Linked DNA regions of Caenorhabditis elegans. The main gene of each other region encodes a partner of the protein of the gene in region 2 in a complex. Each region holds a gene or a part of one and is shown on either strand. Other genes may lie near its edges. The genes, in order: exos-2, crn-3 and dis-3.

What was found.
Region 1: crn-3 (region 2) and exos-2 share a complex: the UniProt entries of both Caenorhabditis elegans proteins name them as parts of the RNA exosome complex.
Region 3: crn-3 (region 2) and dis-3 share a complex: the UniProt entries of both Caenorhabditis elegans proteins name them as parts of the RNA exosome complex.

What each region holds. Positions count from the first base shown.
Region 1 is NC_003282.8:6,413,618-6,418,022, forward strand, and holds exos-2 (Exosome complex component RRP4 homolog), read left to right. Parts: upstream 1-1,860; 5' UTR 1,861-1,885; coding exon 1,886-2,025; intron 2,026-2,086; coding exon 2,087-2,255; intron 2,256-2,300; coding exon 2,301-2,528; exon of another isoform or gene 2,529-2,635; coding exon of another isoform or gene 2,636-2,836; intron 2,837-2,883; coding exon of another isoform or gene 2,884-3,000; exon of another isoform or gene 3,001-3,036; intron 3,037-3,110; coding exon 3,111-3,266; intron 3,267-3,460; coding exon 3,461-3,589; intron 3,590-3,636; coding exon 3,637-3,726; 3' UTR 3,727-3,843; downstream 3,844-4,405. Other genes in the region: Y73B6BL.22 (Nitrogen regulatory IIA protein), read right to left, coding at 2,636-2,836, 2,884-3,000. UniProt on the Caenorhabditis elegans protein: Non-catalytic component of the RNA exosome complex which has 3'->5' exoribonuclease activity and participates in a multitude of cellular RNA processing and degradation events. Involved in regulation of antisense ribosomal siRNA production.
Region 2 is NC_003280.10:10,586,065-10,593,280, forward strand, and holds crn-3 (Exosome complex component 10 homolog), read left to right. Parts: upstream 1-1,977; 5' UTR 1,978-1,978; coding exon 1,979-2,217; intron 2,218-2,841; coding exon 2,842-4,272; intron 4,273-4,387; coding exon 4,388-4,910; intron 4,911-5,335; coding exon 5,336-5,639; intron 5,640-6,360; coding exon 6,361-6,494; 3' UTR 6,495-6,588; downstream 6,589-7,216. Other genes in the region: Alpha-1,2-mannosyltransferase algn-9, read left to right, coding at 64-265, 320-850, 908-1,210, 1,513-1,668; crn-5 (Exosome complex component RRP46 homolog), read left to right, coding at 6,698-6,901, 6,948-7,114, 7,162-7,216. UniProt on the Caenorhabditis elegans protein: Catalytic component of the RNA exosome complex which has 3'->5' exoribonuclease activity and participates in a multitude of cellular RNA processing and degradation events. Involved in apoptotic DNA degradation.
Region 3 is NC_003282.8:10,095,450-10,100,236, reverse strand, and holds the start of dis-3 (putative exosome complex exonuclease RRP44), read right to left. Parts: upstream 3,036-4,787; 5' UTR 3,030-3,035; coding exon 2,943-3,029; intron 2,896-2,942; coding exon 2,699-2,895; intron 2,526-2,698; coding exon 2,210-2,525; intron 1,892-2,209; coding exon 1,651-1,891; intron 1,428-1,650; coding exon 989-1,427; intron 932-988; coding exon 630-931; intron 512-629; coding exon 111-511; intron 1-110. Other genes in the region: msp-36 (Major sperm protein 10/36/56/76), read right to left, coding at 4,421-4,787. UniProt on the Caenorhabditis elegans protein: Putative catalytic component of the RNA exosome complex which has 3'->5' exoribonuclease activity and participates in a multitude of cellular RNA processing and degradation events. Has both 3'-5' exonuclease and endonuclease activities.

The DNA.
Region 1 (4,405 bases), on a different chromosome or scaffold from region 2:
CGGGGTAGGAAGAAATTAGAATTTTTGTTAGAGTCTGTCTCTAGAATTGATGAATAAAAATTTAAAATTCCCCCGGATCTTGGAATCAACGCAAAAAAATATAAAAGATTCTGTAAGAAATTTCTTTAAAATATTAATTTCAAATTCGCCGCGATTTGCGAAGTCAATGGAGGAGTACGGTAGGCGTGTGAAAATGACGGAAGATGAGTGAAAAGAAGTATATTCAAATAATTAATGAAAGCTTTTGATCTGTCCATTTGTCATCGAAAAACACCCGTCCGTCCACCCACATTTTTCGCCGAATTTTTGTGGGAAATTAAGGGCTCTGATAATGCAAATTATGGATAATTTTGTATAAAGTTTTCTAGACATTGGTTAGCGATTTTAAAACTACGAAAAAATGAAATGACAAAATAAATAAGTACTTGCACCTGACTATCATACTTTAACAGCTCATATCTCAATTCATTCAAAACAGTTTACAAACTGTAAAATTGATAAATTTTAGAAAATTAAATAATCAATAAGTTGCCAGTTGACAGTTGTTCAAAAATTTAAAGACAACCAAGTTATAACTTCTAAAATTAATCAATGCCTCGATGTATTAGATACAATATTTTGAAAACATTGTTTTCGATGAACCACAATTTTGTAAATAGTGTATCAGAAACAGTGTTTTTTTTTTTCGATTTTTTACAAATTTTTCTGGGAGCTTTTGTAAGACTCCTACTACTATTTTTATGGGAAATTTTAGAAAAGTAAATAGTCAATTAGTTGTCAGTTAACAATTTTTGATATAAAACAAAAAATAAAAAATGAGCTTCGAATATGGAGCAAGTGTACAACTGCTAGAAAAATATGTGGACCTTTCTTTTGCGACACATTCTTTTTAGGAAATTTGCACTGTTCTGTGAAAGATTTCAATCTGAAATATGAATAGAACAGAAGAAATAATATTGATTTTCCTGAAATTAACCGAATGTTTAGTTGAAGTTCTTGAGAAGTTGTTCAAATACTGGCTCAATTACAATATTCCGGGTACATATGCATTTTTAATAACTTTTAACGAAATTTAAGAATAATATCAAAAATATGTTTCAATACTTCTCATAAAACTCTCAATCAAAATAAGAAATACCAATTCGAAAATTCGAACATTGTTAATCAGAAAATGGTAACTTTATAAATGTTTTTTCAGAAACATTGATTTTTTTTCAATTTTTTCAAAATTTCAAAACTTTTTTCTAAGAGTTCCACATGACCGTCTACCGTCTGAAAATGTTTTTTTTTTAATTTTTAGATGGAGAAGAATACTTTTACAGTCAACCTAAATAAAAAAGAGTACATAAACCCGCAAAATCGGAATCTAGGAAATATTTAAAAATCGCACAATAAACCACCAAAGTTTTGAAAATTTTTCCTTTACGATTTTTACTTCTGTTTTAAATACTCAGTTTTTCTCCAATATATTTCTACGTATCCTCTTTTGTTGTATTTTTCCCGTTCGCATGCAAGTCGAAATTATAGGTGTCCCATTCAACTCACACTTCCTTCCAATGACACCTTTATAAAAAGTCAGACAATGGCTTCGTGTCGAACCTTATTTTTATTTCAATTTCGGGTTTTCATCGTCATTGGTTTAGCAGAAACAATTAAATTTGCACGCTCAATTGGCTCGCACTTTTATGGTCGAAAATCAACATTTGAATAGGCGCCAATTGAGTGACGTGTGGGTTTACGATAAACAGCACGCTTTCCGTCATTTCGGAGTGTCGTTGGAAATAATTATTTTTATTTTCATTTCGAATGAAAGCTTTTTTCAGTTTCTTTGTTTAATTTAAGTTTATTTAAATTTGGTTATTTGCAGACAAAAAAAATTTAAAAAATGAGTTTCGAAGTCACCGGTCCACCCCTCGTATCACCATGGATGATGTTATCAATGTCCGAAGCAAGAAATGATATTGATGAGACAAAAATTGTTATTCCAGGACATTCAGTTTGTGATGCACCGCAACAGTTTATGAGGTATGTATATTGTAAAATACTGTTATATCTTTTTGAAAAATGAAAAAATTAAGATTTTCAGAGGACATGGAACTTACGTTCGCGACGGAGAAATCGTCAGTTCTCTCTCTGGAGTCGTTCAACAATTAAATCGACTGTTGATGGTTAAAACTATTAAACAACGATATGCTGGTGAAGTCGGAGATGTTGTAGTTGCCCGTGTCGTGGAGGTTCAAGCAAAACGGTGGAAGGTTTCAAATTTTTAAGTGAAAAATATAACGATAATTGTTTTTCAGTGTGATGTGGCATCTCGTCTTCATGCAAATCTTCCACTAGGTTCAGTTCTCCTGCCAGGAGGAGACTTTCGCAGAAAAGATGTAGAAGATGAGGAGAAAATGAGCGAATTCTTGAAAAACGGAGAACTGATCTGTGCAGAAGTCCAACAAGTCCAGCACGACGGAACACTTATGCTACACACAAGAAATAATAAGTACGGAAAATTGCAACAAGGAATATTGATTAAGGTAATATTTTATAAAATCTTAAGAAAACGCAATTATAAATTTTTAAATAATAGTTCGGAAAGTTGTTATATTTCTTTAAATTCATCATCCAATTGATTCCAATTAGCTCACGTACGGCGTCTTGCTCTAAAAGCCTCAGAAGTTTTATTCAATTCTCGATCTCTGTACTCAATCACAGGATCTTGATCCTTCTTTGCAGTTGGATGCAGTTCAACAGTCTCGACGCCATAACGAAGAATACAAAAAATTACAAGCAACGCAGCAATGAGAATCCATTGTGTATAAGCACGCCATTCGGGAATTGGGCTCTTTAATAATAATTTTCTATTTCAAAAAAAATTAATGAAAAGCTAACCTCCGTGATAACCATATTTGCACGTTCATCGAGTCGGTAGATCATTGAATCGAGCACTTTTGTACGAATATCCTCCGCCTTTTCAAAGTGTTGAGTTTTCTCATTCTTATGCGACATCTCGTTCAAAGCAATATTTCTTTTTTGTTTATGCTGCCAAAATAAATAAAGCGACAAAAAAATCCACAAAATGAGTGGGAAGTCACGGAATTAATTTCTTTTTTTTGCAGGTTCCTCCACATTTGATCAAAAAGTCCAAGAAACATTTTCACACGTTACCCTACGGAATGGCTGTGATTATTGGCTGCAACGGAAGTGTGTGGGTCACGCCGTCGTTGCCGGAGACCACACTTGAAGAGGATGGATCACATGTTCACGAGTTTCAGGTGTGATAGTGATTCTTGAGAAAAATGAATCGAAAATAACAATTAGCGCACATATTTGGTGACTCAACAACGAGAAATTATAATAATTCCAATGATTGACGAGACCTTATAATTTATTCATCATACTCGTGATCATCATAATCGAAAAGAAAAACAAAAAAATTTGGCTTTTTTCGCAATAAAATAAATTTCAGATTGTACCTCCCGACGTACGCGTAACTATGGTCAGAATCGCTGCCTGTGTTCGTCTTCTTCGTGATTATTCCATCTCGATCTACCTCAATTCACTGACAACATGCTATGAAATGAGTCAGCCTTATGAAGTATCGATTGTTTCTTCAGTTTTAAAAAATTAGAAAAATAATTTCAGATCAAAGAGCTCGCCGAGCAAGACACGTCTTCTCGACTCGCCTACCTGATTGCTGCACGGCTTCTACAGGAACTTCAACAGCAGAAGTAATTCTAATTGTTTTGAATGATCTCTCCCTATTTAAAATTTACCTTTTTTGTTGCTGTTATTTCTTGTTGAGTTTCTTATTTACCATTTCAATTAAATAAAACTTTTTACTTTTTCGGATGATATTAGCTGCGATACAAAATCTGAAAGTTTCGAAAGAAATGGTCCATACCCTGAAATTAAACGATCGACCCGTAATCTTTGCAAACCCAAGGTCGCACAGAAATTTTTTTGATCTAGGAATTGTTTCAATTGAACTCCACATTCTAACTTAATGACCGAACAATTTCAGTGAATATACTTCGATTCACACTATCCGCTTTTCAATCCACCAAGTGAGAATCGAGACGATTTTCTGGAAAGTGTTTATTGTGATTCAAAAAAAACCAGGAAGAATTGAAACATTGACCAGAGGAAAACAACAAAAAGGAAAAGAGAGAGCAGGCATGGGACAGACATTCAGTGAAAGCTCAAAAATTATGCTGCTAATTAGCAGACTTCTAACCTAAAAGGATGCATATGAGGTGTTGGGCACAGTAAAAATGGGAAAATATAACAAAGGATCGAATGGTAAACGAGGATCGGATGAACGTTTCATAGAAAACAATGTGAAGTTAATTCGAACTTCTAATTCTCGATGGTGAATAACTTTCGATCATATTATGGATTAATAATGGGAAAA
Region 2 (7,216 bases):
ATTTCTGGAGCAAAAATAGAAAATCTTCGCGCTTTAGAATTATCTATATTCTTCTTATTACAGGACAGCTGGAATCTTCTGCGTCGCTTTCTCCACTATGGTTGGCTGGCCGTTCTCTGCTGTCTTGGGGCTTCCGATTGTTGCCGATATGCTTTTATTGAAAGGATTAAGAATTAGATTTATTCTGACATCGTTAGTGATTGGATTATGTATTGGTGGTGTGCAGGTTATTACTGATAGTCATTATTTTGGAAAGACTGTTTTGGTAAGTAAATTTAATTTCTAAAATTTAAATTCTAAGTTAATTAAATCCTTTAAGGCCCCATTAAACATCTTCCTCTACAACGTTGTCAGTGGTCCTGGTCCATCACTTTACGGAGAAGAACCGCTCTCTTTCTACATCAAAAATCTCTTCAACAACTGGAATATCGTCATATTTGCTGCTCCATTTGGCTTTCCTCTGTCTCTTGCCTATTTCACAAAAGTCTGGATGTCTCAGGATAGAAACGTGGCACTCTATCAAAGATTTGCACCAATCATCCTATTGGCTGTCACCACTGCCGCATGGCTTTTGATTTTTGGAAGTCAAGCTCATAAAGAAGAACGTTTCCTATTCCCAATTTATCCATTCATTGCTTTCTTCGCTGCTCTTGCATTGGATGCCACGAATCGACTGTGTCTCAAGAAATTAGGAATGGATAATATTCTCAGCATTCTCTTCATTTTGTGCTTTGCAATTCTCTCGGCATCAAGGACGTACTCAATTCATAACAATTATGGATCTCACGTTGAGATTTATCGATCTCTGAACGCAGAGCTGACGAATCGGACGAATTTCAAAAATTTCCATGTAAGAGTTTTATAAATTTCAATGTTTTTATTTTTTCGAAAACTCCCAGTTGTTCAGGATCCAATTCGTGTATGCGTTGGAAAAGAATGGCACCGCTTCCCTTCATCGTTCTTCATTCCACAAACAGTTTCTGATGGGAAAAAAGTGGAAATGCGATTTATTCAAAGTGAATTCCGCGGACTTTTACCTAAACCATTCTTAAAATCGGACAAGTTGGTGGAAGTTACACGTCATATACCAACAGAAATGAATAATCTGAATCAAGAAGAAATATCGAGATATGTGGATTTAGATTCATGCGATTATGTGGTTGATGTTGATATGCCACAGTCGGATAGAGAACCTGATTTCAGGAAAATGGTAGGGGTTTTGAATATGGAGAAACGTAAATGGAGATTTTATTTCAAAAAAAAAATCATCTCAAATTCAGCGACAAAACTACAAAAGAAAAACAAAAAAAAAATGGAAAAGAATTGAAAACGCGATTCTACAATTTTGGCTAAATTCCCTGTTTGAGGAAATCAAATTTTTAAATTCAAATTTTCATTCTTTCCCATTTTTTTTCGTTTTTGACAATTTTGGATTATTTCAAGCATACTCACACTACTCCTTCCTGTAGAAATGTTCTTAATATATAATTGTAAATTCATATCTATTTTTAGGAAGATAACTGGAAACCAGTGGATTCGCTTCCATTCATCGATGTCTCCAAATCAACAGGATTCCATGGGCTTCTTCGTGCATTTTATGTTCCATTCCTTTCTGCCAAACATAATGTCATGACGACATGCACTTTATATCGAAAATCAAATTTGTAAAACATGTATTAAATATTTATTGTTCACTTTGTCTGAACGGAATTCAGATTCAGGGATTCCGATTTCATGTTAATTTCGGGTTTTTTCTTTTAGGTCACCTTCTTTAAATTTAATTTATTCTTCTTATTTATTGCCTGGAAATTTTTAAAATTTGTATTTATCGTTAATATTATTTATTACCAAGAAATATTTTTTTTACAATTTATTCTCATTTATTGTTTTTCTTTTCTTGGTTTCAAGTCAACGATTTATTATTTTTCTTGATTTTTTTCTAAACTTTCGTTTCTCAAGTTCAAAGAAAATTTACAGAATGTCAGGAGAAGAATCAATGCCCGATGAAGAGCAGAAGCAATCTGAGGAAGAAGAGGAAATGATAAGAAAAAGAACGTTAGCGATGAGGAAAAAAGTCGAAGAAATTATGAGAAATGGCGCCGGGCTTGTTCGTGAATCAAATGGTTTGCCGAAAGCTGGTGCGGATTATGAGCTCTACAACTCGTATCCGACATTCAACACGTTTATGAAGCGATCCGAGCAGAGATTGAATGCACTGTGAGTTGAGCGTCTGAATCCGAAAAAGCTCCGGAAAATTAAAAAAAAATTTAATCGACATTTTTTTAAGCCAAAAACACCAAAAAACATTTTTTTTTCTCCAGAAACACAAAAAAAAAGAAACTTTATTTCAAAAAGCTTAAATATTTTCATCAAACATGCATTTTAAGTTTTAAATTTTGAAGTTATTTTGGAAAAAAACTTTAAAAAAAATTATTCGCCAAAAACTACAAAAAAACTACAAAAAATTTCAAAAAATCGAAAAACGAAAAATTTTCGATTTTTTTTCAATAGAAAATTTTCCGTTTTTTCGATTTTCCGCTATTTCGAGATTTTTAAAAAATTAGCTTTAAAATTTGGTATTTTTGCTTCTTTTTAGAAGAAATTGTCATGTTTTTTCTCATCAATATAAACTAAATTATTTGAAATAAATCATATTTTATGGTGAATTTTTTGAACTTTTTTTTTTGAGTTTTAGGAAAATCGAAAAAAAAAACGAACATTTTTGGCTTTTCTATTTTAAGTTAAAAACATCGAAAAAATCGGAAAACGACATTCTTGGCAGGGCCATGTTCAGAGAAAATTTCATTTAAAAACAAAAAACTTGAAATTCCATATTTTCAGCATGAACAAAGTCACCAAGTCAATAGGATGTGCAATGCGAGTTCCAGATGTCGGTTCATCAGTCGAACATTACACAGAATGTGTTATCGAGGCTCAGGACAACATTGCAGAACGTGCAGCAACTCTCCATGAAGCGCTGAAAAAAGCCGAGCTAGATGAGATAGTCAAAGTTCCAGAATTCATTACAAAAGCCGCCCCAACAAATCGAAAAACCGAAGCAGAAGTTTCAGCGGCAATGAGAACGTTTTCAGCGAATATTGGAACGGTTTTGGCGGAGAAGTTTAGAGAACGAAGAGAAGAAGCTGCTCAGATGGTTGTGTTGGAAAAACCACAGAAGACGTATAACATCAGTTCGGACAACTCACAAGCTCCTTTTTCTTCTAAATTGACTGTTAAACATCATGCCATTGAAAAACGAACGGGTATTGTTCTCCACGATGACGATGAGTCTGGAAGAAGAGATTGGATAAGTGCTGAAACAGAAACTGAAGAGGAACATCCATATATCGCTGAAATTCTTCACTTCAAAGTTCCAGAAGCTCAGCTGAAATCTGCAGAGTGTTTAAAATTCACAGCATTGAAGGATACTCCATTGACAATGATTGATACTAAGGAGAAGCTTGAAGCATTAACGAAAACTTTGAATTCTGTAAAAGAGTTCGCAGTCGACTTGGAGCATCACCAAATGCGATCGTATCTTGGATTGACCTGCCTTATTCAAATTTCAACAAGAGATGAAGACTTTATCATTGATCCCTTCCCAATATGGGATCATGTTGGAATGCTCAATGAGCCATTTGCAAATCCACGTATTCTCAAAGTTTTTCACGGTTCTGACAGTGATGTTCTCTGGCTACAAAGGGATTATGGAGTTCATGTTGTTAATTTATTTGATACATATGTTGCCATGAAAAAGCTGAAGTATCCTAAATTCAGTCTTGCCTACCTCACTCTCCGATTTGCCGACGTTGTTCTGGACAAACAATATCAACTGGCTGACTGGAGAGCACGGCCTCTACGAAATGCGATGATAAACTACGCGAGAGAGGATACTCATTACCTTTTGTATAGTTATGATATGCTCCGAGAGCAACTTCTGAAACAAGATACCAAGGATTTGGCCAACGTCTACTCAGAGTCTAGCGATCTTTGCATAAAAGTATACAAGAAACCAGTGTTCAATCCGAAAGGATATTTGACGGAAATAAAATTCCGATTCACACTGAATACTCGACAGGACTATGCACTTACACATCTTTTCAAATGGAGAGATGTAGTAGCTAGAGCAGAAGATGAGAGCCCACATTTTGTACTTCCAAATCATATGATGCTATCACTTTCTGAGACATTACCACGAGATGTTGGAGGTATCTACGCGTGTTGTAACCCGTTACCGTACTTTGTGAAACAGCGAACTGGTGATATTTTGAAGTAAGTTTTGAGAATTGTGGGAGTCCCAGCATTTTCCGAAAAATGAAAATTTCGTAAATATAAGCTCCGGGACTCAAAAGACCTCATAATAAATATTCTAATTATAAAATTACAGAATAATTGTGGAGGCCAGAGATGTGAAGCTTGAGAAAGTGGGATTGTCGGCGAAAGAAAGAAATGATGCACAGGAAGCACGAGGTGTAATGAACGATACTATGGATCATATCACTTCAGTTTTAAAATCAAAAATCGACTTTTCACACACTAGATTTGACGAAGAACGCGGAGAAATTTATATTGATAAGACAGATGAAGGAATGGATATCGAGCTGAAAGATCATAAAGAATCATTGTTATCAGTGCTCCAAACGGCTGAAATTCCAAGTGTGGAAACTATGATTGTTGTGGAAAAAGGAAAGAAATCGGATAATCAGAAAGTTAAAAAGTTGTTGAATGAACTTGACAAATTTGTAACTCCATTTGAATGTTATCAAATGATGATGATTACAAAAGAAAAGCAAGAAGAAGAAGAGAGAAAAGAGGCTGAGAGAAAGAAATTGGAGGAAGGTGATCTACCGAAGACTATGTTCTCACATCATGATGCTCCGATTAATAGAAAACCTGAATTCGATGCGAAGGTTGGTAGATATAATGAAATCTGAAAAAAATCGTTTTTTTTTTTGGGAAAAACCGAAAAAAAATGTCTGAAAAGAAAATTCCAAAATCGGTATTGCTCATACGGAATTCAGAGATTGCTTTATTCTTAAAAAAAAATTTTCGGCGGAAAAACGTACAGATTTGATAGAAAATTTTTTTTTTTCGATTTTCTCTGAAAAAAATTTAGTAAAAAAACTTTAAAAAAAAATTATCTGAAAAAATCACTAAAATCTTTTTTTAATTTTCTCTGAAAAAATAAATAAAAATGAATTTTTTTTCGATTTTCTCTGAAAAAATCAGAAAATAAAACTTCTTTTTTTTCGATTTTCTCAAAAAAAAAATAAATGAAAAAAAATATATTTAAAAATTCCGATGACATCCTTGGTTTTAATAAGATAATTTTCAGCTTCTAAACGTTGATACACTGAAGCTGGTCCCAGATGATCCGAACAAGCCGAAAGATCCAGAACCTTCACCAATGGAAGAATCTTCATCGGAACCTCAAATCTTCGATCCATCTCGTTTTACCGACGACCAGCTACTGTCAAAGAAGGCAATGAAAAGAAAGAGAGATGCTGCTCGACGAAATATAGATGTTTCTGTTGTGCTCGGCGAGTCGTCGAGTAGTTCAGATCCAAAAAAGAAAAAATCTGATGATGATGCTCCCGTTGAAGATTTTGATTATGAAAAAGCTGATAGTAGTGCATTTGGTAAGTTATATTCCTTTGAATTATCCAGACGCGAGATTTAAGGCTAAAAATACGGTACCAGGTCGCGACAACTTGCAAAATGGTGTGCGCCTTTGAAGAGTACTGTAGTTTCAAATTTTCGTTACTGGGAAATTTTCTTCGGTTTTATTTTAGTTTTTTAATAAATAAATTTAAAACTAAAAAAAATTCCGCAGCAACAAAAGTTTGAAATTACAGTACTCTTTAAAGGAGCACACCAGGGCTGGGACAAAAAATATTTTTGAACAAAAAACCAAAATTGAAATTTACGAATTTGCGAAAAACGAACAAAAACCAAAAAAAGTTGATGCTTGAATTTATTTTTCAAAAAAATCGTGAATATGTGAAAATGTATTGGTTTTTCAAAAAATATTTTTGTTGGTCTGAAAAAAAAAACAAAAAAATCAATTTTTCGTCAAAATACAAGAAATATTTCAATTTTTGTTGAATTCCAACAAAAAAACCCAAAAAAAAATCAATGTTATTCGTCGAAGTGCCAATAAAAGCTATTAAAAAACCCAAAAAAAAAAATTCAAAATACCAAAAAAAAACACCAAAAAATCAATTTTTCGTTAAATTCCAAAAAGAACCGCAAATTTGCAAAAAAAAAACGTTTTCTGGCTCAAAATTTGGATAATACCGTACCCAATTATATAGCTCTCAAAAAAGTCTCGAAATCAAATTCCTAATAAATTATTTCCAGAAAAACCTGTTCGAGACAACAACGCCGATTTCGATCCATTCCATCAAAAATATCGATTGAAGAACAAGACAAAGAAGAATATGGCTATGAAAAAATCATCGAATCGACAAGGAACCATCAACTACAAAAAATGATTAAATTGTTACATCCCATCCCATTACCATTGTTATTTTACTTTTTGTTGTTGTGCTTTTTCTTTTGCTTTGAAATTAAAGAAAACTGTTTTTGAAATCTTTTTATTTATTTATTTTTAATTCAATTTGGTTTTCCACCAATTTCAGTTATATTTTCTACAAAATTCATTTTTGTGATTAATTTTGATTTCAGATATCCCCAAATGGCCGGCAGACTTCGTGAAATGCGTTGTGAGCTCTCGTTCCTCAAAAACGCGGATGGCTCGGCATGCTTCTCCCAGGGTGCCACGTGTATTTGGGCTTCATGCAGTGGTCCTGGAGATGTTCACGCTTCGAAAGCAAGTGATGAGGCTATGACTCTGGATATTAGTTATAGAGCAAATTGTGGAGATAACAAGTTCAATGTGGTAGGGGTTTTTGTAGAAATTACTTTTGGAATAATTCTTTTTTCAGCTGAACAATATCATTCATTCTACTCTATCCAATGCAATCAATCTCGAATTGTTTCCCCACACAACAATTTCTGTCACAGTACATGGAATTCAGGATGATGGAAGTATGGGAGCTGTAGCGATAAATGGAGCTTGTTTTGCTCTACTTGACAATGGAATGCCATTCGAGTAAGTTTTTTTAGATACTGTTTTAAAACTGTAATATAATTTTTCAGAACAGTCTTCTGTGGTGTCCTTATTGTTCGTGTCAAAGATGAGCTGATTATTGAT
Region 3 (4,787 bases), on a different chromosome or scaffold from region 2:
TAATAATCTAAATGAAAATCAGTTTCTAGGTCGCTCTGTTGTATAAAATATATTTCTTCTTTGAATTTGAATATAACTTTTTTTTTTGTAATATTTTTTAAATTTTAAACCTTTGGTGTTCTGGACTCCCAATCCATATCAAAGCGAACTTCACTCGATGCCAACGTCAATGCTCCATTTCCAGTTCTTCTCGCATTCAAAACTTTCGACAATTTCATCAATCCACGTAATCCCAATGCCACGTCATTCTGCTCTTTTGGATCGTCAATAATCTCTTGTGCCTTCTCATAAGTCAATGCAGCTTTTGATTTAATTAGAGATTTGTGATATTTAACTGATTGTATATCAGCACTAGAAGTCATTGTCCAAATACACGAAAATGCATAACGCTCTTCTTCTCCGCGAAGTGAGCACAAATTGGAACTGAGCAGACATGGAAGCATATCGATACGACGATCACAAAGGTATACTGTAGTTCCACGTAATGCTGCTTCATCGTCGATTGCGGTTCCTAAACGTAGGAAATTTTGGTTCTTTTTTTGAAAATAAATGAGGTTTTATTCGAACCTCAAAGGACAAACATTTTTTTTAGTAAAACTTGAATTTTTAAATAATTTCAGTATATTTACCTGGTCTAACAAAATGCGTGACATCTGCAATATGAACTCCAACTTCGAAAAGATCCTCTCCAATTTGTTTACAGTGTAATGCGTCGTCAATATCTGTACATCCAAGTGGATCAACTGAACAAATTGTTAAATCTCTCAAATCAACACGTGGTAGAGGGCCGCGGTTTTCAGTGAGATCTGGTTCCCATTCTTCACGTGGTAGACAATCAAGAACAGATTCTGAGAATGGAGCATGTGGAATATCATGTTCGAGAAGGAGAACCTCATTTTCAGTTTCACGGGATCCCATCTCTCCGATTGATCTGAAAACAACAGTCATTCCGTTAAAATATTTCAAGATTTTCTGAAATTTCACATACCTGACGTAATGTCCAAGTGGATACTTGGAATCTCTTGGCCAGTGATCAATAGCCACCACAATTCTCTGCTGTGATAAAGTTTCAGCCTGTTCCGTCTCGATTCGAATTCTTGGAATAAGTCGTTCAGCTGGACAGAACAAGTGTCTTCTGGCTCCTTTCACTGTACTTGGCAGCAACATTCCACAATATTCACGCCAATTTCTTTTGATAATTCCAACAACTTTTGCAGTTGAAACAGTCATTTTCTTCGACTTTTTAGCTTTTGGCTCATCGTTCTCGTCATCATTCTCCTCGTCTTCATTTCCCATGTCATCTGCAGTTTTAACATATTCTTCAACGTCACGGAGTCGAATTTTCTTCTCTGGAGCAGTCCATTGGTCTTCTGGCAAAAGTTGAACTGCGACGGTATCTCCATTGACGGCACGATTGCAATTATTTCCTAAAATTCGAAATAAAAATTTTATTATTCAGAGAATTGGAATTTTTGGAAAAATTTCACCTTTTTTAAAAATATAATTTCAGAGTTGTTTCGCTCAAAATGACCGAAAACCACCTAATTTCGTTATAAAAAAGTTTTTTTAAAATTCTCAGCAAAAAGTAATGACTTGTGTGAAAAATTTGGTTGGTTTTCGAAAATAAATATTTCAACTAAATTCAAGCACCTGTGATGAACCAAGATGTTAACTGATCATCAATAATAACAGTAGCTTCGCGATAATTTTCTCTTGAAACACTGAAATTTCCTCTTTTGATCGTTCCACTGGCAATTCCCTCCATAATTCTATCATGCGATAGATATTCATCGAAAATTTGTTTCTCATTTCCATTTCCAGAGCTTTCATACGCAGCCATTTGATCCAAAAGTGCTTGTTTTCCTGGATCCTCCAAATTTTGTATGTATTCCTGAAAATTTGGAGATTTTTTCTTTTTCTACGGGGTTACTGGATCATTTTTCAAACTTTATTGTACTTTATTATACAATTTTTGATTAAGGATCATGATTTTTAGTTGAATAAAAGTTTAGTTACGGCGAAAATATGTTAAAGAGGTGTATATTTTAGGGTTTTTGGCTGAAATAGTCTGAAACTAGCTCGGAACGACAGAATTTCATTATGAGTCTTAAGAAATCAAAAATTTTCTTTTAACAAAATTTGGCTCTTTTTCGAAATTTCGCCAGTTTCAGAAAAGATCCACAGAGTTTTGAACTTTTCGACTATTAACCTTTAAATACATCACGTGTTGGTAGTGATTTTCCATTCTTTTTTTCGAATCTTCATCAAAAACTAAGACAACAGGAGCCACGTTATGCTTCTGCCAATGAGTTTTCAAGTAAAGAGCTGTTGAAAGTAGAAGCTCTTCGCCACGACTCAAATCCTCAAATTTCGATGATTCGGAGAAGGTCTCGCAGTGAAATTCGTTCATGAACACGTGAAATCTGTCTTTCGCATCTTCATAACACAAAGAATTCATTTTCTTGTAGGCTGGTACAGCTTTTGCTTTGACTCCTTCCCATACAGTCTGGGTTACGATGAGATCTCTGAAAATTAAATATAATTTATTATTTTACAGAGTTTTTAATTGAAACTAGATGTTTGTTACAATCCCGACAACTTCTAAAAACTGAATTTGGAGCAACAAATTAAGAATTTAATAATTGGACAGTAGAACCATCTACATTTAAATGATTCCGCTGTAATTTTAATTCATTACCTCAATAAAGACGAATCAAACAAATCGTAGAATCTGATTAATGATGTGGAATCCACAATCAGCGCGTGCCTTCCAACTTTCGCATTTCTTACGGGATTTTCAATTTTTAACAGCGGATTTGTGCCGAAATCCTTGCAGGTTCCACATTGAGCAAGTCCACATGAAAGATCATTTCGTAGATATCTTTCTTCGGCTCTCTGCAAAATTTTAATTGGGTTAGGTGATTTCGGAGAGGTTTTCTCACTTTATAGACTTTCCCCGAGCGATTTTGGAAGTAAGTCGTGTGCAAAGCGACGGAATGAATTCCACTTTGTTTGACGTTCAAATCCATACCTTCAAATAATGAAAATACGTGTGAAAAACAAATAAAATCGCACGAATCAGGTGAAAAATGAAGGAAAAACTATTTTATTCGAAGAAAAACTCAGTGTACATTTACGGTGAACAACACGCGCGAGTGGAACATCGGAGTGTCGTAGGCACTACGAAAACGAACACTTCGAACAACACTGCCATCGCAGCTGCGAGGAAAAATGAAATGAAAAGGAAGAATATATCTAAATAGAGTATGGCTAAAATCATGAAAACGGAAGTTTAAACATCTAAAATAGATAATCGGGTAGGAAACATGATTATCTAGGGCCTCATAACCTTAAAAAATAATGCTCAAAACGTTTTTAGATTTTTGAAAATTTTTCAGTCATAGATTTGGTAAATTGCCAAACTTTTTTGTCTTACAAAATTTAATGCGGATGAAACTAAATAATCGCCACTTTTTGATTTTTTTTCATGTATGTAGACACAGCACTGTCCTCAAGGATGAAATCTGACCAGACTTTAAAATGTTAAATTTGTCAAGATGCAAAATATTTATTGTTTTAATGTTAATTTTTGGAAGCAATAAGAACAATAAAAACATTAAGCGAAATATAGAATCTCATTATTGAAAAAAAACGGGTAAGAACATGATAATGAAATACATATCTCGATGGACTTCCATAAGATGTTTAAGAATCGGTTACTGTAGAATTTGGAGTTGAAGAATTGGTTCTACCCAGATAAATTGAAATGTCTTCAGATCCATTAAACTTTGTATGTGATCTTGATCTTCTTCGTTCCCGTATTCTAAAATTAAAATACCTCCAATTTGGATATTTTTCTTCATTATATAATTTTTATCGAAAATTCGAAAATTTACTAAACCCAGCATAGAATTCAATACCAAGGCTTTCATCTAGAGAAAATTTGAATTCGGAATTTCAAATAGAAAAATACATAGCAGAGCTGAGACATTATATACCAGGGATCTTTCCTTTTTCGAAAATTCGAAAATTTACTCGAACCAATCAATAAAGTATTTTTCTCTCATATCAGCAAAAAAAGTTGTGATCGGTTCACTTGTTAATTTCTTTGATTTGTAAGAAAAATACACCCTCCTCGACCTTTACGGAGCAAAACAGCTTTCAGGTTTTGGAGAGATGGGCTGGGTTAGTAGTATGGTTGGGTAGTCTTCTGAACTGAATGACTACTGGAAGATTAAGGTAGGATTACTATAGTTCCAAACGATTTACAATAAATCCCGGATGCTTATGTTAAGGGCATCGATGGAACACAAAACTTGTTCGCTTGAGTATTAATATATATTCAATTTGCAGATTAAAACAGAAAAACAGAACATATACTTGAAAAAAGTTTATTGTTAAGAAACCCAGTTCACACATCCTATGGATTGTACTCGATTGGAAGGTTCTTGCGACGAACCATACCGTCTCCCTGGAACCATTCACGACGGAATTGCTTGGCAGCTCCATCCGGGGTGTTGGTCCACTCAACAGTGATACGGTCGTTGTTGGTATCCTCTTGTCCGAAGGCGAAAGCATCGCAGGAAACAGCAAGAAGCACAGCTTCCTTTGGATCGAGAACTCCACATGGTGGATCAACTCCAAGTCTCTTCATATTGGTGGTCTTGATACCATATCCAATACGACGAGCCGATGAGTTGATCACCTTGATGTGATAGGTGTGCTTGTCATCGTATGGAGCATTAAAGACGATCTTCGCGTTTGGTTGGGTTTGGATGTCTCCTGGT